Linked DNA regions of Pelodiscus sinensis. The protein of the gene in region 3 interacts with the protein of the main gene of each other region in a biochemical or structural test. Links are inferred from orthologs where the notes say so. Each region holds a gene or a part of one and is shown on either strand. Other genes may lie near its edges. The genes, in order: DAB2, TAX1BP1 and MYO6.

Region 1 (7,749 bases), on a different chromosome or scaffold from region 3:
TGCAGAGGAGGAGGAGGAAGACTGATATCAGGGACAGGAGGAGGAGGACGACACGGCCACTGTGACGCTGTCCCTGGAGCTGATTGCTGTGAGTCTGGACGTGTCACAGGCATCATCTGACGCTGGGGAAGGATCTTCAGGTGAGTGCTCTCAGTTTGTCTCACACACACAGAGAGGGGGAGGCGGGCGCAGAGGCAAGCGTTGCTTGGCCTGGATATTGTGCTGCAGTCCATGAACATGGAACCGCATGCAGCATTATTGTGCATCACACGGACACAGCCGGCAGCCCCTGAGCCCACCCAAGCTCCTCCTCCCAGGCTCAGGGGAGGCCACACACACGTCTGGCCCTGGAGGGGGGAGCCCTCTTACCACCTGCCATGGCTGGAAGCAGGCTAGCCACAAGGGTGCTGGGACCACCCCATACACCAAGGAGTGCTGTACACAGCACATGGGCATGCCTGCATGTGCAAGGCACCACCCGCTCCAGCAGACAGCGCTGCAAGGTACAGATGTGTGTGTGGGCCCCCGGGAGGGCCAGGCCGCTCCAGGCTTCTCTGCCGCCCATGGGATCCCACTGTGGCCAGACACTTCCCTTGCCTGCTTGTCCATGGAGGAGGGGGAGAAGCAGGCAGCATGGTTCCCTGGGCACTGTGGGGCACCTGTAAGGCAGGGCCTGCTTGGTCCCGGGACATCCCCCATCCTCTGGCCCGAGGACTGTTGGTCGCTGCTCACAGAGGAGGGCACGGCCTCAGAGACAATGTCTGCAGGGATGACTGACTGCCTCTCCCTCTTTTTATTTTCCACAGCCAAACCAGCCGGGACTGAGGGGTGAACCACGCCACCCGAGCCAGCCACCCAACCCCAGGGGACCTGAAAATGCTCCAGGGTCCAGGAAGAGCTGATGAGGCAGCATGTGGGCATCTGTGCGACATGCAGCAGACCCTGGCGCAGTAGGTCCCCTCCCACTATGCCTCAGCTAGACTTCGGCACCAGCACTCGGAAACAATTGGTGACCTAAAGTCCTGGCTGAACTGGTTCCAGATAGTGAGATAGCGTCCAATCAGTGTGGACGCTATCTTTAGCAGTGTGGATGCTCTCTTTCAGAAGAATTTTCAGAAGATCTCTTCTGGAAAACCTTCTTCTGAAAGAAGCTTGCAGTCTAGATGTAGTCTCACTCCTGTGAGCGCACTCCTATTTGCATCAATAGGTTTTCTACCCATCCAATGTAAATGAGAGCAGAATTTGGCTCGAATCTGGAAACCACAAATCCAGCCTAGGCCACTAGCAGCATTGCTTTCTGTGGGTGGTTTAAGGTGGAATTGAATCTTGCCCAATTTTAAAAGGAACTGACGAACTACATCACCTTTATCACTAGCTAGCTAGTAGACCCAGAATCAAATGATTCTAGATGTAATACTTATACAGGTCAGATTTGAAATTTACTGATGGGCTTGTGTTAGTATACATTAAGATGCTGCTAGATCTATTTGGAAGACAGATGACTTCATTCTTCAAGAGTTTCTATCCAGAATTTTTCACCAGCATTGAAATAGCCTGAGAGAAAAACAAAGCAATTTTAAATTTAATAGGATGCTGATTGTTTCAAACATAAAACTGACATTTTATCTTTAACTAACTAAATTTATATTTAAAAAAAGAGCCAGCAGGCCAAATCCACATGAGGAATGATGCTGAGCAGTCCAGAGGTTCAAATACAAATTCTTCCTCTATATTCCTAGTGACATACTTTGCCATCTCTCAATTTACATCAATGAAGTTTCCACTGAAAGGCGCCTCTTCAGCCAGATTTTTTCTGATTCCTATTCCATTGTTCAACTAAGTGAAAATGCTATCGTGATAATTAACTACAGTATCTGATTAATAATTTCATTCCTTTCAATGGCCAGGACATTGCAGGGAGATATAAGGAATTTGCTGATTCTGTAAAGCTCAACCTTTTACTGCCTAGCTGTAACATCTGTAGTGGAGAAGTGAGGAATCCAGGAGCAGATAGTTTACCTTATGGCAAATTCCAACGTGCTATTTAAAGTTCAAATGAAATTCCAGCACTCAAAGTAGGAGGTTTTCTTAAAAAAAAAAAAAAAAAAAAAAGTCCCAAATCTGTGAGTGAAAAGTTTAATTATGGACAAGATGACACACATAGTAAAGCCCAGAAAGGCAGCAACACCGCTGTGGAAGCACATTCCAATAAAATCTTAAAAGATTATTTTTATAATAAACTATGCATTCTTGAGCAAGCCACTGCGGGATTAGCTAACACTTTGCCTTGCTATAAGCAGGTTTTTTGCAAACTGTTACTGACACCATTTTCAAAGCATTCATGTTTCCAAAGCTTACACTGGTGACTTGAAAAGGAATCTACTTTTCAGTGTTTTTATTTAATCCTGCTTCCCTCTCTCCCATATAAACTGAAATCCCAATGAGTAGAACAGGCTGTGGCTTAGACAAAGTTAGCATCCAGAAAAGCAATGGAAAAACTAGCAGTGGTGAGACTTTCCAGCTGTAACTACAAGATAATTTTAGACCTACTGAAAAATATTTGCATCTGTGAGGCACCTAGACTGATACTGTTCTGTAAAACAAAAAGTTAATTAAAAAAACCAGCACTTTGGGCAGGGCATTGAAGCTATGCCAATAGCAGAGACATTTAACACAATAAATATTTAAAAAATCACCATCCTGCAAAATTCAGCACTCCCTCTTCTGGAAATACTTGAATAGTTGGGTTTAACATTGCAATTGGTATTGTCAAATTCATCTGTTTTTACAAATCCACTTTGAAATACGATTTTTTTTTATAAAATATGAAATATGAAGATTGCCATAAAAATCCCATAGTGCATATAGATGAAATAGTTGTATTTCAGTCAGAGTTGCTGCCAGATTCCTCCTCTACATAAAAATACTTCCATTAGATATGTTTAATATAACATTCCAAAATTCTAGCTTTTAACGCAAAAGTATGAAACATCAGGGGGTTCATTTTGAGCCATATGAAAAAAAAAGATAATACACTAGGTTAAGAAATTTTTTATTCTTTGAAGTCAGCTTCAGGTTCCCCCCTTCTCCCCTCAGTTAGCCATAACAGTGTTATCATTAGATTATTAGACACCATGCTTGCCAGTTAAAAACTAAACATCTTGTGGCATTTCTACATTAAACCCTATGGTGCAGTACTTCTGATAAAACATCAGCTATGTAGTGGGGTCTCTTTTGGTACTATAATAAATAGTGTATATGTACTTCACAACTACATTGTGGGGGGAAAGAGGACTGTGTTGTGGGTTGCATCCTGCAAAGACATAAATTCTAATCCTGTAAGTGTGGTGAGCTACTTTATGAAAGTGAATCCTAAGTGTCTCCTTATTTATTAGGAAGAAAACCTACCTCAAAGTGCCTCTATTATGTGGATCAGTTACCTACTTTTTCTACAGTATTTTGAACAAGTTATTATTGTTAGTATTTAAAATACAGATTGCAGAGGGACACAAAAGCCCAGATCCTGATTTTGATTAGAGCCCCTTAGAGTTAGGTGCTGAACAAATAAACATGACTAATCTCAGATGTAATCATGTAAAAGATCATCAAGGTCCCAATCCTGCAAACATTTTCACATACAGGCATAACAAGAAGCATGTCATTTGTAGCAAGGGACTGGATGCACTTAAGTGTCTGCCAGGCTGGGATATAAAGGATTTTTTCCCTTCAGGGGAGAATGTGCTTCTGAAGTGAAGGACTGAAAGCACCACTTAGAATCAAGGGCAGTGCAGGCACAGCTGTGTTAATGCACCTCTGTCATCACCCGATATCTAGCACCCTTGTTATTCTAGGCATGGGCCAATTCTCAGCAGTCTGTCACTTACCGTGGTGGTTTTGTATGCAGGGTTAGGTGGAGAGCATAAATTATAGAGCATGTTATTTTAATCTGTTTTAAAACACCCCTCGACACACAACACAGCGATGTTCAGTAATGTAGTAAGAGGCACTGCATGGCCTTGTAAAACACACCTTCCTCAAGTAAAATTTCCTAATCTACATTGTAATTGGGTGCGGGAGGGGAGGGATGACAGGTTCCAATAATGGAAGACAAAAAGAGAATAGATGTTTCGAGTAAAGATCCTTATAAAGATCTCTGAGTAAAGAGCTGGATACAATCTACCAGCAACCCAAAAACTGAAAATGCTTTGACCCAGGATTCTGGTTCAGCCAGTTAGAAAATACCAACATTCATATCCACATCGAGATTTTTACATAAAACAAATCAATGTAAACATATACACACTGGGACCAGCCTTTGGATCCCCTCTCCATTGCCAGATCCTTGAAATGTTTTCTATACACATATTACACATATTGTGAGCTACAGACCTTCAGTCCCCCGCCCCCCATTCCTTGTGAATTCCCTCTGATTTTTGTACGACACATATCTAATTTAAGAAACCTCTGACTTTCCTGTCGTGGGTTTAAAAATCTCCCCTTTCGTGTCATTCTCTCCTCTCTCTCCTGTAGGGCTCATTATTGCATAAGAGCGCAGCAGCTCTGATTCCCTTCAGCCCTGGCGTGCAAAGGGTTAAGTTTGGAAGCACCGACACGTTGAGGGGGAGTAGCCAAGCCCAAACAGCAAAATCATCACAGCACATTCCTGGGTAGTCCTCAGCTGCCAGCATCTGATTAAAACCATATCTCTCGCTGTGAGTGGCTAGCTCAGCTGAAGGCTGGAATACAACTGAATATTTAGCCGGGCCCACGGTGTCAGCTAGTCTGCCGGCTGCCGCCCGAGGATTACGCAGGAGTAGCTCGGAGCTAGTCTGTAAGTAGTTTTTTCCAAGAGGGAGGTGGATTTTCCTCCGATTTTTTTTTTTTTAAATGGAGGGGAGCAAAGTAGAGGGGGGGAGCTTATTGTAACGTTTCCTGGGGTCTGTAGGGCAGGGTGACTCTGGCGCAGGCTGCGTTCAGACGCATTTCTTCAGTCAGCAACCCCCAGCCGGTTCTCGATTGTGAAATTTAGTCGTTCCCTGGGGTTGCTTTGATTCCTGCCTCTGAGCCGGACGCTGCAGCCTTCTCTTCGGCGACCCGTCTTCTCAATGTCTGGGGAGTGTTCTGGGAGGGTTCTACCCCCCCCCCCCCCGGCCTCACTAGCGTCTTCTGCGAGACTCTGCCCCGCTTCGGAGGGGGCTAAGGTGGCCCGGGGAAGGCGACCTCTGCGAACGTGAGCAGACTAATCGCCTACCAGCTGGTATTCGTTTGTGCTTTTAGGAAAAAGCCGCTGGTGTCGAGTACCACGATAACTCTTCCAGGGCGGCTAATTGACACGAGCTCGTGGGGTGGGTGGTATTGTGGCAACACGCCGAAGTAAAAGGCTCTGCCGAAGGCAGACGCCCCAGGGGGTGCTAAATCCCTTAAAGCGTGAAGCTCCCAATTTTGGAAGTGCTAGGGTGGGAGAGACTGAATGGGTTAAATCTCTGGAGCCAGCTGTGACTGTAACGGCTTTCATAGCCCAGGACTAGTGTCCCATAGATATGGGGGAGGGAATAGTAATGCTAGTCAGTAGCATGACACTACTCATAAAATGTTCTAGCTTAAAATTGGGTGGAAACGTCTGCATCCTGCCTCCAGGAGCCTGAAAAGGCCTCTTGACTAAAGAAGCCAAGAACTCAAAGCTAAACAAACAAGCACTTTCTATGGAAAGGCGGGGATGAAGACAAGCAGATTATTTACATTGCTATATAGATAGTAAACCCCTTCTGTTGCTCTAGAAATAGTTTCTCTGAGAATCTAGTCACTCATTGTTAATAGTGTGTGGAGGGAGGAAAGGCCTAAGAAGCATTTTGGCCAGAGCAGTTTGTCTGTTGGCTTTCTAATGTGTTTGCAACTGGGGCAAATAGGTGACACTCAGGAGTGATGGGAGGTGGGGAAGGAAGCCTACAGGCAAAAGTGAGAGGTGGTGTAGTAAAAAAGCTCTGCCTAGTGAAAGGGAGCTCCTCTTTTCAACCTGGAGGTTGGTTGCAGGAGAAATAGATGTCTCAGTGGTCAGATCATCATGGTGACACTCAAGTAGGGTCTTATCAGTGTTCAAGGTTGTGTCCTAAATCTATTTGCTCACAGTAGAATTTACTAGGCAGCTTGGGGTAAACTTTCTCCAATGCACAACACATTTTTAGAGTTAAAAAACCCAGCAGTGTACTCAATTAGCTAAACAAGCTAGGAAACAACTTGTCATCCAGTGAAAGGGTGGCCAATCAAGAGAAATACCTTTCTAAGGGCACAATGACCCTTGGGAGGAGGCTACACACTAAACCTTAAAGCTATGAATCTTGATCCCCTTCATTGCTGGTGGCTTCCACAGGTAACTAGGTATGGAAAAGTGGTCTCAGCACAGAAAACACCTGAGACTGATGCACTGAAGAAGCTTGAATCAAGATGAATAAGAATTTGTGCAAACCCCTGAAATGCTAAGTTGCATCTAGTGAGAGATTGTCTCTTATTTAGGCATGTGCTCATCTGCCCACACTTTAGGGGTGGGCAGAGACACAGTAGAAGGAATATTTTCCTTCTACACTTTTTTATTGAAAAGAAAAACCTTAAAGGTACCTGTGCCATCATTCTGATGGGTACTAGTACATGTGTCTACTAACCCTAAGAAATGCACATTCTGGGATGGTAAACCTACCTTTCAGCTCTTAGGTGTTATTTCTGCTGTTCCTCATTGTTAGGAGGGGAAAATAGCTTATTCATTCACAGAAGCTAAAGGTCTGATTTCAGACTTGGTTCTGGAGGAAACTTTTAATCATTGGCCTAGGAGCAGGGAAGGGGATTGGAAGGAATGTAATCAGATTTCTTAGAACTGATCCTCAAAATAGTTCCAAGGGCAGTAACTGATTTCACAATTAGGGAGAATCCCCTAATAAAGTGATACTACATCTCAAAGCATGTGGGGGTTGAATGTGTAGAGCAGCTCCTACTGCTCTGCAAAACCAAAATGGCTCTTGACCTTTGTATGTACTTCTGAAATGGCAAAATTGCTTAAGTTTGGGTTTTAAGCATGATTGATATTCCTAACTTTGAAATGGAACCAACATAAACAGTAAAATGGAGAGCTCCCAAAGGTGTTTACGCTATAGATAGGTGAGCCACAGAAACAAAAGCCTTAATTGACTGAGGCATTTACTCCAACCTCTTCAAGTCTCTAGGGGTAGATCTACAGAACAGGGCTCAACTCGAACTAAGCTATGTAACTTGAGCTACACAGTTAGCATCTCTCGTCAAAATAGCTTATTTCAAATTTGGGTACAACTACACAGTACCTCAAAATAGAGCACTTTCCTCTGACTTCCCTTCCTCCTCAGAATGGGATTTACAGAAGTTGGAGTAAGAAGCCTGTTATTTCAAAATAATAGGCTTGCTGTGTAGGTGTGCAATATGTTATTTCAGAAGGATATCCATTATTCTGACATAATACTGTTGTGTAGAACCGGGCTACTCAAGACACAGCCTGTGGGCTGCATGTGGCCCATGGGCCATTTGTTTGTGGCCTGCTATGCAGCTTGGGTTTATACAGGGCTCAACACACGGCCTGCAGGTGAGATCCTGTGAACATGCTCCCCAGCAGTGAGCCAATAGAATAGACTTCAATTGATGTGCATTTTAGTAGTTAAACTCCTGCACTGTCATTGCTCTTTAGAAGTGCTGTCATATGGGTGGAAATAGGGAAACATGTCTTATCAGCAG
Region 2 (7,308 bases), on a different chromosome or scaffold from region 3:
GCCCGCCATCGGTCCATGGATCAGTGGTTGGGAACCACTGCCTTGGGCAATCCCTACCTGTTCTGACATCATGCAGCATCCCAGAAGTGGCCAGCAGCAGGTCCAGCTCTTAGGCAGTAAGGCCACAGGGCTCCCCATGCTGTCCCTACACTGAAATTGACTAGAAACCAGCCAATAGGAGCTGGGGCAGGCCAGTGCCTGCAGGTAAGAGTTGTGCGTAGCTGCTTGCATGCCTCCACCTAGGAGCTGGACCTGTTGCTGGCTGCTTCTGGGGCACTGTATGGTCAATGGTGCCAAGATAAGCAGGAAGCCTGCCTTTGAACCTCTGCTAACTAAAGGCTATGGGAGGTAAGCCCATTACCCAACCCTGTGCCCCAATCCCCTGCCCCAGCCCTGACCCCCCCAACCCATAATCTCCTCCACTCTATATCCCTCATCCACGACTCCATCTCATAGCCTGCATCACCAGCCCTAACCCCATCCTGCACCCAACCTCCTATCCCAGCCCAGAGACCCTCCTGCACCATGAACCCCTCATCCCCAGTCCCGCTTGACAGCCCTCACCCAAGCCCTAAACCCTTTCTTGTACCCCCAAATCCCTTATCCCCAGCTCCGCTGGGTCTCAGGCATCAACAATTTTCTTCAATTGGGTCCCCAGAAAAAAAAGTTTGAAAACCACTGAGTTTATTAAAGCTTTAACTTTATTGCCAAATGACCCTTAGTTCCTATACTGTATAATGCAGGGGTGGGCAATCATTTTTGTAGGGAGGAACACTTCACCAATGTTGTTAGTGGTCATGAGCCAGTCCCGGAAAGTGTGGGACCTCAGCTGGAAGGGACAGCTCCCTCTAAGCACCATGTGGGGGAGGAGGGTGAGGAGAGGAAGGAGACTTTGCATGCCCCCCCTCCATGGGGCAGGGAAGCACAGGAGGTCTTCTCCCACCCCGCCCCTCCCCCCCACTGTGCTAAGGGCATGCAGCACACAGAGGGAACTGCTAGCCATTTTGAACTGGCAGTTCCCTCTGGTGCCATGTGCCCCAACAGGGGAAGGGTCTTGACTGGCCTGGGGGGTGGGGGCATGGCAGGGTGGGCTGCAGGCCAGATGAAACAGCTTGGTGGGCTGAATCCAGCCCATGGGCCGTATCTTGCCCACCCTGATGTAATGTGACTGATGAAGGGGGCCTCTGATTACTACAGGGAACCAATGTAGGAAAAGATTTTTATCAGCTGTTTTATACACTTCATTAATGGATCTACTAATTCTGCCTTCTGATGGATTTCTACTCAATTAAATTACATTTTAAACAATATTATCTATATTGACTATGACAAGTGGAAAATTACATCTCTCCATCTGCAGAGGCCTATATGTGGAACACAATATGAAATAAAATGAAGAAGTAAAAGGAAAAGTCACAGTTCACTGGCCTGGCTACACCTTTGACTTCTTTCTGCCCTTTCCAAGTACACCCCTCTCAGGCTTTAGCTCTTATACACCTCATCCCTTTACCTACCCTGGGATGAAAACAGACTCCCATGATTCTCCCATTCTTAGAACCAGTCCCTGGGCAACAGTACCCTGTGTGCCAATTGTGATTCCTCAGCAGGTCTAGCTAGGCAATATGAAACTCTTCCCCTCAGGTGTGGTCACCAGTTGTAAAAACAACAACAGAACAGCCTTTTCAAAACAAAATATTTTAAAGTTCAACAGTAAGAACAAAACATGAGAAAAGGGACTATTTATCTGTACATATAAGATCTAGTCCTTCATATTAATTATAATTATGCTACATGACCCCACCAGCTAAAAGGGAAAAAAAACAATGTGGGCTATGTAATATGTAAGATTTTATGTCCAAGAATACTTGAAAAAATAACTGATATGTTAAAATACATGAAAATACTAGGAGAGGGGTGAATTATAGGGCTATATTAGGGTGGCATTTAGAGAAGCAGGATAACATTTCAAGTGTTTATTTTAGACACCAAACAGTCTAAAGCATTTTCTTGAAGGGGAATATTCAAGCTAAAAGCTGCCACAGCAAGAGAGAAGAAGGGCAGGGAAAAACCTGAGTGCGTAACCCTAATGCGATGCTGCCTGGAGAAAGCATAGACTCTCTGATTAATCACTGGCTGGAGTTATGCAACTACTCTGATCCTCTCCTAAGTACAGAAGGTAGCTTGATCGGAAAAAGGTAAATAAGAGCAATTTGTTCCTGCAGGGTGAAGGAAGGTCCACCAAGAGGGCAAAGGCAGTGAGTTACAGTATACGTGCCTGTGATACTCTGGCACCAGGAATATTCCTGGCCCGGGTCTGGGGTCCGCCAAATTCACTGTCACTGCCTGCCATGCCCTGCATCTCCTGGCATCTTGCTGCCCCACAGGCTCTGTCCATCCCCCAGTGTTTCCATGCCATGTGCTTTTCCAGCAGCTGAGAGCTGGGGCAGCAGCACCTCGAGATCCCTACTTCTTCCAGGAGCCATTGCCAGAGGATGGGTCCCTCGCAGAAGCATGGTATCCCCTAACCCCTCCTCCCACTCCCTCGTGTGCCCCACTCCTTCTAGCCCCTACACTCTTTCCCCCTGCCTGCTTTCCCCCAAAACTCCCTCCCAGACCCAGGAACCCCACCCCCTGCACCAGGCCAGAAGCAGCACCCAGACTCCATCCCGGAGCTTGCACCCCTGAATTCCTCCTGCACCCTAATTCCCTCCCAGAGCCTGTACCCCTTCCCCACCCAAACGGCCTCCCAGAGCCTTAGGCAGGTGGGGGCTTGAGTGAGGTAGGGGCTCTAGGCACCACCAATATTTGTACAAAAATGCTGCTTCTGCCAGAAGGACGGGGCGGGAGGGGGCACCCCACTGGGCAATGAAAATACTGGCAGGGACACAGGGCTACCCCACTCACCTAGGGGAGTAAGCGAAGGCGCCGGCTGCAAGAGGTGCAGGGAGCCTCACCTTGGCCCAGTCCCGCTTGCTCACGAGCGGGCACCACCCCCCCAGACCCGCCCATCCGTGGGCGGTGGAGCAGGCACAGCTGCCTTGTCTGTCATGGGGTTGGAGGCGAACCCGGCAGGTCACTGGCAGGAAGATGGCCCCTCTCATTGGTGTGCGGCTGCCAAGGCCACGCTGTGGTTGGCTACGCTGGCTGCCACTCGTCTTCTTCCCCCGCCCCGTCCACGGTCACAGGCAGAGAGGGCCAGGCGGGGGCGGTGTTTGAGTGGAGGTCACGTTGAGTGGAGGCGGCATGGCAGCGGTGTTACTGCTCAGAGGCTCTGCCAGGCTCCTGCACGCGCACTGGAAGGTGCATGCTGCCGGCACGGCAATGGGTAAGCACCCGCCTCGCCCTCTGCCTGGGGATGCGGGGTGACATTTTCGCAGGGCGAGCTGGGGTTGCAGAGCGTGGTCCCGTTGTGTCCAAAGGCCGGGCCTCCGTCCTGAACCCGCCCGTGGGGTGCTGCTTCCTACCCCCTCGCTAAAATGGCATGTGGGTCAGTCAAGTGACAGCTCTGCCCCACAACTTCTTATCACGGGAAAGCAGGGGCTGTGGGGTGGGTGGTAGTTGGAGGCGCACGGGAGTTGCACGCCGGATTTAACGAGTGCATCAGTGTGCTTGGAGGACTATTTCCCCACCCCTGACAAGCGTCTAATTCCTCAGATGAAACATGCATTGAGGTTTTGAAAGCCCTGATAAATGTGTTTTCTAGCACGCGAGGATTATCACCTGTGTTTTGCACCTTTTACAAGTGTTGTGCACTCTATTAAAGCCATACAGGTTGTAAAATTATATGAGGCTTATATCAATACTTAATGTTATGAGTAGCTTAGTGTAATAAATATTTTACATGTTTATTTAAAATAGCATATGTAGATTTTAAAACAGCCCACAGAAGTTTATGTGAAGCTAGTGAGTTAAAACATGTTCTTCATATCTGTAATCGGTACTCATACTTGTTTGCTTTCTCTCTGATTATATTTCATTATTTTTGAGCCAAAGCTGAACCCAGAAGCACTTTTTAAATATTCAAGGCCTTTATATTACACACATTTATGTCCATACTTCAGTTTACAGACAGGAGGAGTTCAGCTGAGTGTGAAGTAAAACAAGTGTATATGCAGGATTAGTATAACGTTTCCCTTGTCTCCTGCCTTTGCTTTTAAAAGGACTCTGGTGATTTAAGGTCCATATTTTGGTTTGAAATTGTTCTATAGTATGTAATAACAGCTAAGATTGTTATAAGTGAAATAAATGGCAGAATCTTTCTGTGGTTATTTTAGATTTGTTTATTTTCTGCATTTGACACCTTTTTCTGTTTCCCTTGTGTTCAGTTAGTTTTCCCTGTGCTTATTGGGGGTCTTTCACATACTGTAGTATATGGAAAATATAAGTGTATTTTTAAAAAGGGGGAATGTGACTTTAGAACCACAAAATATGCCAGGAGGCTCAGCAAAAGGTGTACTGAAACTACTATATTATTTTTAAGTAAAATTTTAAGCTTAAAAGGCCCTTCATAATTTTATTTTTTTAGATCAATAAAAACAAATGTCTCACTCTCTTAATTTTCTGTGTGTGTGTGTATGTGTACATATACATATTTTTTTCCTGTGGGATGATAGTGACATCATCATGTCACTCTGCATCCTGCCTGCTCCCTCTTCCCTCCCTTTGCCCCCAGCCTCCACACAGAAAGAACAGAGCAGCCCAACTGTGCAGGGACACCCCATGCTGGGGGGGCCCATCCCACAGACCTGCTCGGGCCTGATTCACCCCATTACCCGATCTGTGCCCACCCAGCAAAGCTAGATATCCCAGATCCCACAGAGATGAGATAAGCTCCCAATGCTCTCCCCTCCCTCAAGGGAGAAGAATCAGAGTCCCAGGATCTAGGGATGTAACATCCCAGTTTATCAGTTAAACATTAGGTTAAACATTTAATGGGTTAACAGACTATGCAAGATCTGAACTGGGGCAGTCCCTGCTTGTGCAGCTCCCATCCCTACACTGGGGATGGCTGCTAGCTCCCAACCCCACATGGGAGCTGGGACTGCTGCTGGCTTCCAGCCCCCACTGGAGCAACCTCTGTCCACAGAGGCTTCTCACGGACAGAGGCTGCTCCACAGAAGCAGACCCTGCCTATAGGGCGCCCAGGATGCGGGAGTAGTGCCTACCTGCAGCAGGTCCTCTGAAGCACTGGACCTACTCCCTCCCCCGCACATGGCAGGCGGGGGGGCTGCTCAAGTCCCCACCAATAACCAGTTAACCAGACCGGGTAAGCATCACCTGTTTAGTGTGGTGCCTACTGCCTAAACAACCAACCTTTCACATCCCTAGCACCCGTGCTCTACCGTACCAAATTCATGACCATGAAAAATGCACCAAAGACTGTGAAATCTGGTTCCTCCCCTTCTTCCCCCCCCCCCACCCCCGAAAAAAAAATCTGATCTTGTGTGTGTTATGCATACTATATAGATTTCACGGGGAATCAGATTTCACAGGTGTTTCCCAAATTGGGGACCTGATTTCTAAAGAGAGTAGCAGGGGGAATTACAAGTTTATTTGGGGAGGTTTGTGGTATTGCCACCCTTACTTCTGTTATGCCGTCAGAGCTGAGCAGCTGGAGAGTGGTGGCTGATGACTGAGGGCCAGTTCTCCAAGCAGAAGCACAGTAGTTAGGGTGGCAATAGAATACCATGCCATTCTTATTTCTGTGCTATTGCTGGTGGCAATGCTGCCTTCAGCAGCCATAGATCTCTGGCTCCTGAGATCTGAAGACAGCACCACTGCCAGCAGTAGTGGAGAAGTAAAGGTATCTGTACTGCAACACCCTCTCTGCCCCCTGTGCGCATGCACACACACACATGATAACCTTGCGACCACTGCACATCTCCTTTTTGGGTCAGGACCCCCACAATTACAACGCTATGAGATTTCACCTTTAAATAGCTTAAATAAATAAAGTTACCTTTTTTAAAAATCCAGCGACCATGAAATCGTCGGTATTGCCTTACCTAAGTCACTGTCTATTATGGTTGAACAGGCAATAGAGGGTGGGAAGGCCTGAAATAGGACAAGAAATAGAAGGTTATTGTATAAAGTAGCTTCAGGGGATAGCCGAGTTAGTATGTACAGGATAAACTTAAAAAACAGCAAATGGTCTGGTAGCACTTTATAGACTACATGTTTTGTTAGATGGCATCATGAGCTTTTGTGGGCACAGCCCACTTCTTCATACAGCTCACTACAGGATAAAGTAGCTCAGTCAGAAGCACAGAATTCATTCTTGTGAAATTTCAAGGTCCTAAAATGTTTCATTTCTAAACTGAACCCTCATACTTTATGAAAGGCTGCATCAGTTGACATATTTCCTCTGGGCACAACCTTGTTAACTGCAGTTACGGAAGTACAGAGACAATGTTAAAATTAAAATTATAAAAACCTTTTCTTCCCAGTTGATGCAGATAATGCCCTTGCTGTAAAAAGCTTTTTGCTATCATTTCAGGCCTTTCATGTTCTGAAGGCTATTAAAATTGTTGTGGGGCCCTGTTGGCAAAGGGAGATGTTATTTCAAGCTGCGATGTGTTTGGCAGAATTATTCAAAGGAATTGTGAAAAAACAGCACATTTCTGAGTAGTGTGCTATAAAGGAGACCCTGAAAAACACGTTCTTTTCTCTATTAGGCTATCTGGAGTTCTTTCTTTAAGGAAAAGTTTTCAGCTATCAGCTACCAAAATTTGGTCAGAATTCCTGAGGGAAGCAACAAGATGCTATCTTAGCTCATTCATTGATTCTCCTGTTATTGCTGCATGCAAACATGCAGGACTCTACCACATTCCTCCTCTCTGAACATGCAACACATTATGTGCAAAAACTGACACCTCACTCATACTTGGGAGAAATGATTTTGTGATCTCCAAACTTCATGAGCTGTGTCAACTGAATTGTGCTAGTTTTGGAAATAGAAACTCCTGGAGTGCACTGTTTCCAGGTGGCTCCATAGATTGGCAAATTATAAGCCCTTACTACTAAAAAGAAAACATTGGTTACTTTATAGTAACAATACCATTCACAGCGTTTAATGGATGATTTAAATTCCCAGTCACCACTTTGAACTCCATGCAGTAGGATGGCAGGGGAGGGGAAGTGCCAAGGTGCTGTGATATAATCCAGCAGTAGTGAACACGTTGGTAGCTGGGGCTTATCATAACTTTTGTATTTCTCCTTAGAGCAGTAATTCCTCTTATTATTACAACTATTCTCTGCAAATTGGAGTCATACCTACTGTCCTCTGCAGTGGCTTCTGCCTCCATCAGG
Region 3 (7,968 bases):
GCGTCTCCCTGGTCTCTGCTGGGGGGAAGCAGCTAGTGCGGGGTTGCCTCACCCCGTTTGTAAGTAGGGATCCGATGTAAGTCGGATCCATGTAACCCGGGGGCTGCCTGTACTACAAGCTGTCACAAACAAATGTAGCATTTAAAGTAACAGACATGCAAGCACAAAACTACCATAATTCAATATACTATACAAACTTATTCAAGCTATACATCAATTTTTAAAGTACAAATATGTATTATTTCAAGTTGGCCATTTGAAGTTGTTATGGTTTTTTAATCTTTCCATCTTGATTTTTAAAATTTAGCACACTACAGAATGCAAATGCCTTTACAAATATATCAAGCCAGAAACTGCCACTCTGTGGTCAAATATTGTTGCTCTTCAATCAGTGGGCAATAACCCATACAATACACACTGCAGTACATAGGGAAACATGATGAGCAAGCATCTTAGTCTTATTTCTGACCCTTCCTGGTCTTTGCTAGTTTAAAATCACAAGTGCGCCGCTGCATGACATAGAATGGGGAGGAAGCAATACACCAGACTGCTTCACAATATAGTAGAGGGACATATGGAACACAGCGCTTTGTAGTTGAACACAGCTACATTTCTATCACTATTGTAGTTGAATAGGTATTCAAAGTGTTTGCTTCAACTGTTACTCTTAATATACAAATTTTAACTGAGGTGTAAAATTACATCACTACAAAACAATTCATAAGGCTGCAGTTTGACATTACAGACATTGCATTTACTTTCATTATTGATACCTGTATTGTGTTTATTGTCTCAACTTGGACAATGAAATTAAATCAATTAGTTTCACTTTTGTTTACAGTCACATTCTCTTTCTGGATCTTATGCATAGGCCCAGTTTGAACATCGAACACTACAGGAACAAAATTGATTGAAAATATCCAGTGGAAGCTTTAAAGAAAATCATGGAAACATTTATATTATTTTTTATAAAAACCCACTTTATTTCCTTCTGAAAAACTAAACCATAGCAAGAATTTAACCTGAAATTTTCTCTTTACGCACTGTTAATTCGTCATGTTTGCAATAAAGAAAAACTTGACTCAATTCTTAACCTTTGTACTCTGCTCCCTGAAGAATAAGTTCATAAGCCATTTTATGGCTAATAAAGTCAACTGAATTGTCAAGAATTATTAGCTCACTCCAAAGAAAGTTCTTTACCCTGCATGAGTAAGACACTTATTTTAAATGATGACATATACTTACTCTCACCCTTGTCAAAAATACGTGGATTGGTATAGTCTATCAATAGAAGTTACCTAAAAAAATATGTAACAAACATTCTTTTATTTTGTCTATTAATTTAGCCATTTCAAGTTTTTACAAGGATCCGGTAGTATAAGGATTTATTAAAGAATCCATCTGTCAAGCATGTGTAAGCATCTACAATACATCGGATACAATGTGCATTGTAATCCAAGTAATGGTTGATGAACTGTCCAGTCAAAGAACATTTTTGTTTAATTTTCAAGCAGAAAAAAGTTTAGGTGGAGAAACAAAACTTTTTGGGAGTGGAAATTATTTTGGAGCAACAAATTTATCAAACTTGATAAAAAGCTTCAATAGAAAGCATGTTCTTTTGCAGTCCTGAATCCTTATGTTCTTAGACCAGCTGATATAAAACTTCACTTGTCCAGGAGGACAAATCCACACAGAAATATTTAGGCTTTTGAAATAGAGACTACAATAGTTCAACAAACCCAATGTAATTTTAGCATTTTCCTTAGCAACAACTGTCAGATAAAAATAAGACTGATAGAAAAAACCACAAGAAGGAATTTGTGAGTATCAAAATGACATTTTCACTGAGTACAAAAAACACCTTATCTGTATGTATGCAGGATAAGAAAGTTTTCACTGTAATAAGAAAAAAAAAATCACCCTGCTCATAAAAGCCTACTTTCTCCCAGATGAAGCCCTGAGCTCTCCGTTTCAACTGTTTAACTCTTCCAATACATTTAGAAGCACCTGCATCAGGCCTTTACTTTTCAGCTACTGTGTAGGAAGGAGTTTAGGCTGGATCTGTAAATACTCGGGACTCACTCAGGTTCTAGTTGTGCCCTTCTATTTTTCCTTCCCAATTAATTGGTAAACTGTATGTTAAGTTCAAGAAAGGTGTGGGGGACAGGTGAGAGCAACTGCAAGTAACGAACATGCACAGAGAATTAGCTATTCTCCTCCTAACGTTTAACCTCTATAACCTTCCAATGTTAAAGCCTCTCGAGAAAAGTGACAGAGATGCAGCCGTGTAAGTCTGGTCTAGCTAAAAACAAAAGACAGACCTATGTAGCATTTTAAAATCTAACAAGAGTGCTACATAGTTCTGTGTCTAGAAAAGCACTGCCTCTTTATTCACAGCAAGCGTCCTGTCTAAGTTAGTCTGGTGATAAGTATCTTTCCTACAGCTGCTGTGGCTAGACACTTAAGTTGCGGCTACCTAGACAATTCCGGATACAGACTCTCACCACACACACGGTTTGATTTGGAAACTTTTCTAATAATCCACTAACCCCCAAAGTTCCCCGAACCTCCCAGCCTCTTCCGAGCCCTCCGGGTCCGGCTACAGCGTCCCGGGGCTGTTCCCAGCACGCCCCGCCGCCGGGCCGCTTTCAATCGCCTGCCTGGGTAGCCCCTGGCGTCTCGCCCCGCACAGGCGCTGCCCAGCTGCCGCCCCTGCAGGTGCGGGGGCTCAGAGTTACCGAGCGGCCCGCGGGAGCCGGACCCCAGCGCCCGGGGTAGGGCAGGGGTGGGTGCCAGGGGCCCCAGCAGGCCGGGGCGGCCTGAGCGGGCAGAGGAGCCCGAGGGGGTGGGGGCCGGACCGGGGCCGGGCGGGGATCCCGCCCCTGCCCAGGGGAGGCTACCCCAGCCGGCGCCGCGCTGCCCCGCTTACCTGCAGCCGCGCTGCGTCCCCAGCTGATGCCGCCACCCGCGGCCCCTGCGCTGCTGCAGCCCCGCCCCGGAGCCGCGGCCAAGGAGGCGCCGCAGACGTCAGCGCTGGGGCGGGGGAAGCGCGGCCCGGCGCTCCAGTCCCCGGCTGGCCCAGGCCCGCCCGGGCCCGGCACCAGAGCGGCCGCTTTACGCGCGGCTCCAGGCCTTTCCCCCGCCTGCCCTCCGCCGGCCTGTTGTTCCGCGGAGCCCAGGGCCCGGCCTGGTTACCTGCCATCCCTGGGCCCTGTCTGAGAGCCGGGGGGAATGACCCTTCCTGTGCGGCCCGTAGCCCCGGCTCAGCCTGCTCTGTGACCTGGGGTGTCCCAGCCACGTGCACCCACCCTGCTAGGGTTGCCAGATGGTTTCTGCCAAAATACAGGACACACTGGACATGACATCCCAATCTACATTACATCTGATGTAGAAAATACCGGACATTTCTGTTTTCTCAATTTGTTTCCTCAACAGAAAGCTCAAATACTGGCCTGTCTGGTTCAAAACCAGACCCCTGGCAACATTACCTGGTGCGGAGACCCCAGGCTCATCTGCCACAGAAGTGGAAATGGATGCTGGGTTTTGCCGGCGATCAGCAAGTCCCCATCCCTCTCAGGATGTGGGGTAGACATGCCCAAGTCAGCTTAAATTTAGCTGGCTCAAATGATAATACACCAGTGAAGTCTGAGCTCTATGGGCATAGGGTAGGGTCCACTGCTCATAGAACACTAGAACTGGAAGGGACCTCAAGAGGTCATCAAGTCCAGTCCCCTGCCCTGACGGCAGGACCAAACACCCACGCTGAAGCCCATGCAGCTTTGGACTCACTGCTGTCCTTAATCAAGCTAGCTCAATTAGAGCCAGTCTATGTACATCTCCACAAATTACAATCACACTTTCTGTTGCAGTGTAGACTTACTCCCGGATTTCACCACATTAGCTAAGAAATGGTAACCTTTTTTCCTACTGAAAATAAGAGCTCGGCCACTGTTTTCTTCAATTTGCAGTGTTGTTGTAGTGCAGCCGGTGCCAAAATAATAGAGACATTGCCTCCCCCACCTTTTCTCCGGTTTTATCTGTTTAGACCCTCATCCTGTAAAGTCTTAAAATGCTTAATTTTACACATTGTGCATAATGCCCTTGAATTCATTACTCACAGTAAAATAGATTAAGAACATCCATACATTTTTGCAGGGTTTAGCACTTGTCTACACTTGAAAGTCAATTTTCATTAAAGTAGGGTGTGAATTCTAATTCCAATAGTTATTGCTGATTAACTCCATGGCTGTGTCTACATTGGCATGATCTTGTGCAAATACTCTTTAACGCAAGAGTCATTGCATTAAAGAATTTGCGCAAGAGAGCGTCTACACTGACGTGCCTTTGTGCAAGAGATGTGCTTTTGCACAAAAGTATCCGTGCCAGCGTAGACGCTCTCTTGCGCAAGAAAACTCTTATGGCCATTTTAGCCATCGGGCTTTCTTGCTCAAGAAATTCATGTTACCTGTCTACACTGGCCTCTTGCGCAAGAAGAGTTGCGCAAGAGGGCTTATTCCTGAGCAGGAGCATCATAGTTCTTGTGCAAGAAGCATTGATTTTACACATTAGAACGTCAGTGTTCTTGCACAAGAACTCCCCGCCAATGTAGACAGGCAGCATGTTTTTGCGTAAAAGCGGCCACTTTGGCGCATAATCGCGCCAATGTAGACACAGCGTATGTGGATACTTTTTTCTGGAATAAAAGAGCTATATTTATAAAGGCTATGTTTAGCCTTTTTAAATTCTTCAGGGAAGGACTGTCTCTTAGGGTTTGGTCTACACACAGTTTTTATATGGGTATAACTGTCAATTTATGGGTGTTTTCTTAATCTATGTCCTCCCCCTGCTGTGTGGATGTAATTATACCAGTATAAATGTGTTTATACATTTCCATTCCGACATGGGACTAAATTATCGCTATAGCACACTTTTATCAATATAACTGCATTCACACTAGGGATATTGTGCCATGTTAACTTTGCCAATGTAGACTATAGTTAAAGCAGTTCAATTTGTTTTTCTGTAGACAAGGCCTGATTGAATGTATGTACAATGCCCAACACAGTAGGCCTCTGATCTCAGTCTCTAGATACTGTTCTAATGCAAACAACGATTTAAATGATTAAAATTGCACAAGTGAAATACATCATTTGATGTTGGCTATTTATTTCTTTGTTTACCTTTTGCTTTTTACTCAGTTTGGTCATTTAAATTTATCAGACACTTGACTTTGCTGTCAATTTTAATCTATTTCACTTTGATGCTCTGACATTAATACAGGGTTGCAGTATTTAGACTGAAAATATTTCAGTTAAAGTATTGTTTAATCTTTTGTAAAGACTGTACTGAATCTTTTAAAATTATTAGCTTAAAAAAATAAATTTGGGGGCTCCTTGGCTGTGTTCCTTGAATGTGTAAGATTTGTTTTACTACTTTCCATATATGAAGTAATTGAAGTGCTACTTCTTCCTTAATATGTCTGAGAGCTATCCTTTTCTTTCCCTTGCCCAGTCAAATCTCGTATTTGGATTGTCAATATATTCCACTTTGACTCTTAGAACACCCATTTTTCTGAAATCCCTAAAATATATACTGCCCCATATCGTACAAGATGTAACCACTAAAATCATTTTCTTTGCCTTCCCATGTGACCATGTCACACTTCTCTTTGAATGTCTCCCCTGCCTTCCCATATGTTATTGTGTCAGATTTAAACTTCTTTTCTCCACCTTGAAAGTCCTATATAATTCTGCCCCTCCCTGAGTTTCGCGTTGCTTCCTTGCCCTATATTTCACCACCCTTCCCAATTCTGTCCACTCATATATCAGCTTCTCCCACAATAACATGACCGGCCTGAGCTTTTGCTTTAAGCCTGTACATTGTCCTCCCTAAATCTCTCAAAACTCCACTTCTGTTGTGCTGCAGAGTGAATCTAAATAATTTGAATTTAAAAATCTGCCTCCTTCTGCTGATTTCTATATCTTTCGTCCTTGCATTTGGCAAGTTGGAACAATCTTATCTTGAATGTCTGAAAAGCTCTCAGAATGTTGTGAAGTAATTAAATAAATAATTGCAAAGCGATAGTCTTTAAACTGTGTTTTGCCTTGTAAAGCTGATGTTTAGCCATGCCTGCTGGTAGTCCTGTGAGAATTTAAATGAACCTCCACACTTAAGATTTTTCCAAAATAAATGTTCCATTATTATTTATTTATATAGGACCAACACTATCCTAGATACTTTATGGACAATATGAAATGAACATATTTATGATTAAAAGTGCATGCTTAATCATGCAACTTGGGTGGAAAACAGCAGGAGCTAAATCCTGTGTTCTTACTAACATTTCCTCTGTCAATAAAACAAGTTCTAAACAAGTTTTTGTTCTCTTGATCACCACACATGCATGTAAAGTGCCAGTTTCAGTCAGCAACTGCATAATTGGCCTGCCCATACTGCAGTAATTGCAGTTTGAATTGTCAGTTTGACTGAAGTGGTGATGAGCATGGATCACACTCCCTGTCAGTACCCGACCTGGTGCAGGGAAACTAATGATCCAACCAACAGACCAAATTCAGTGATGAATCATGCCACCTAAGGCATATTGTGCATACTCTAAAGAAGAAGCCTCAACTGGCAGGACGAGAGGTTCTACACACCTCTACTTTTCCCCCTGAAACTATATTAGTAATAAATAGCAGCCATGGCTGCTCCATTTTCATGGCAAGTCTAAGCATCAGAAGTGCTGGTGCTGTAATTGTGAAACCTAAAAGTCATAGAGAATTCAACTTTTCACAAGAGGCCAAAGTTGCAAATACGCTCCTCAAAAATCAGTACAGGCAGTCCCCGACTTACGTGGATCCGCACTTACGAACGGGGCTTTTCTCCAGGGGCGAGAAAAGCTTCTCCTGGTCTCCCTGCTCTACTGGGGGGGTCCAGCAAAGTCGCTGGACCCCCCCAGCAGACCAGGGACACCTGAGCAAAGCCGACACCTGGGGGACAGGAGCAAAGCCGCGGAGCGTGCTGCGGCTGTCCCACTGCTGGCGTGCTCCAAGGCTTTGCTCCCCGTCTCCCTGCAGACCAGGGAGACGGAGAGCAAAGCCACGGAGCATGCCCGCAGCGGGACAGCCCGGGCGTGCCGCGGCTGTCCCACTGCTGGCGTGCTCCAAGGCTTTGCTCCCCGTCTCCCTGGAAACCAGGGAGACGGGGAGCAAAGCCGCGGAGCACGCCCGCAGCAGGACAGCCCGGGCGCACTTGAGCTGTCCCCCTGCGGGCGTACTCCGCGTCTTTGCTCCCCGTCTCCCTGGTCTGACCAGCAGACCAGGGAGATGGGGAGCAAAGCCTCGGAGCACGCCAGCAGTGGGACAGCCACGGCGCGCCTGGACTGTCTCGCTGCCCGCGTGCTCTGCGGCTTTGCTCCGGGTCTCCCAGGTCAGCAGACCAGGGAGACGGAGCAAAGCCGTGGAGGACTTGGGCGGTCCCGCCACCCCCGTCTCCCTGGTCTGCTGGGCGGGGGGTGCGGCTAGCACCCCCCCCCAGCAGACCAGGCTTTTCTTGCCTACCTCTGGGGTAGAGCAGCTGGGGGCTGCCAGGTTGGTCCCGCAGTGCCGCTCAGGACCAACCGGGCAGCACCCCAGCTGCTCTGCCCCAGGCGTCCTGATTCAGCCGCTGCTGGTCAGTTTCAGCAGCGGCTGACTTGGGGACGCCTGGGGCAGAGCAGCTGGGGTGCTGCTGGGTTGCTCCAGTAGCGTGGAGGAGCTGCGCTACTGGAGCAACCCAGCAGCACCCCAGCTGCTCTGCCCCAGGCGTCCCCAAGTCAGCTGCTGCTGAAACTGACCAGCGGCTGACTACAGGAAGCCCGAGACAGAGTTGCTCTGCCCCAGGCTTCCTGGAATCAGCCGCTGATCAGTTTCAGCAGCAGCTGACTTGGGGACGCCTGGGTTTCTTAAGTTGAATCTGTATGTAAGTCAG

What was found.
Region 1: the proteins of MYO6 (region 3) and DAB2 form a complex in vitro, tested with the Homo sapiens proteins (7 studies listed by BioGRID). The link is inferred for Pelodiscus sinensis from reciprocal best matches to the Homo sapiens genes MYO6 and DAB2.
Region 2: the proteins of MYO6 (region 3) and TAX1BP1 form a complex in vitro, tested with the Homo sapiens proteins (5 studies listed by BioGRID, with this or other methods). The link is inferred for Pelodiscus sinensis from reciprocal best matches to the Homo sapiens genes MYO6 and TAX1BP1.

The regions. Positions count from the first base shown.
Region 1 is NC_134716.1:103,838,121-103,845,869, forward strand, and holds the start of DAB2 (disabled homolog 2), read left to right. Parts: upstream 1-4,649; 5' UTR 4,650-4,831; intron 4,832-7,749. UniProt on the Homo sapiens protein: Adapter protein that functions as a clathrin-associated sorting protein (CLASP) required for clathrin-mediated endocytosis of selected cargo proteins.
Region 2 is NC_134712.1:196,219,459-196,226,766, forward strand, and holds the start of TAX1BP1 (tax1-binding protein 1), read right to left. Parts: upstream 3,044-7,308; 5' UTR 2,905-3,043; intron 1-2,904. Other genes in the region: HIBADH (3-hydroxyisobutyrate dehydrogenase, mitochondrial), read left to right, coding at 3,244-3,325.
Region 3 is NC_134713.1:57,955,632-57,963,599, forward strand, and holds the start of MYO6 (unconventional myosin-VI), read right to left. Parts: upstream 3,080-7,968; 5' UTR 2,930-3,079; intron 1-2,929. UniProt on the Homo sapiens protein: Myosins are actin-based motor molecules with ATPase activity. Unconventional myosins serve in intracellular movements. Myosin 6 is a reverse-direction motor protein that moves towards the minus-end of actin filaments.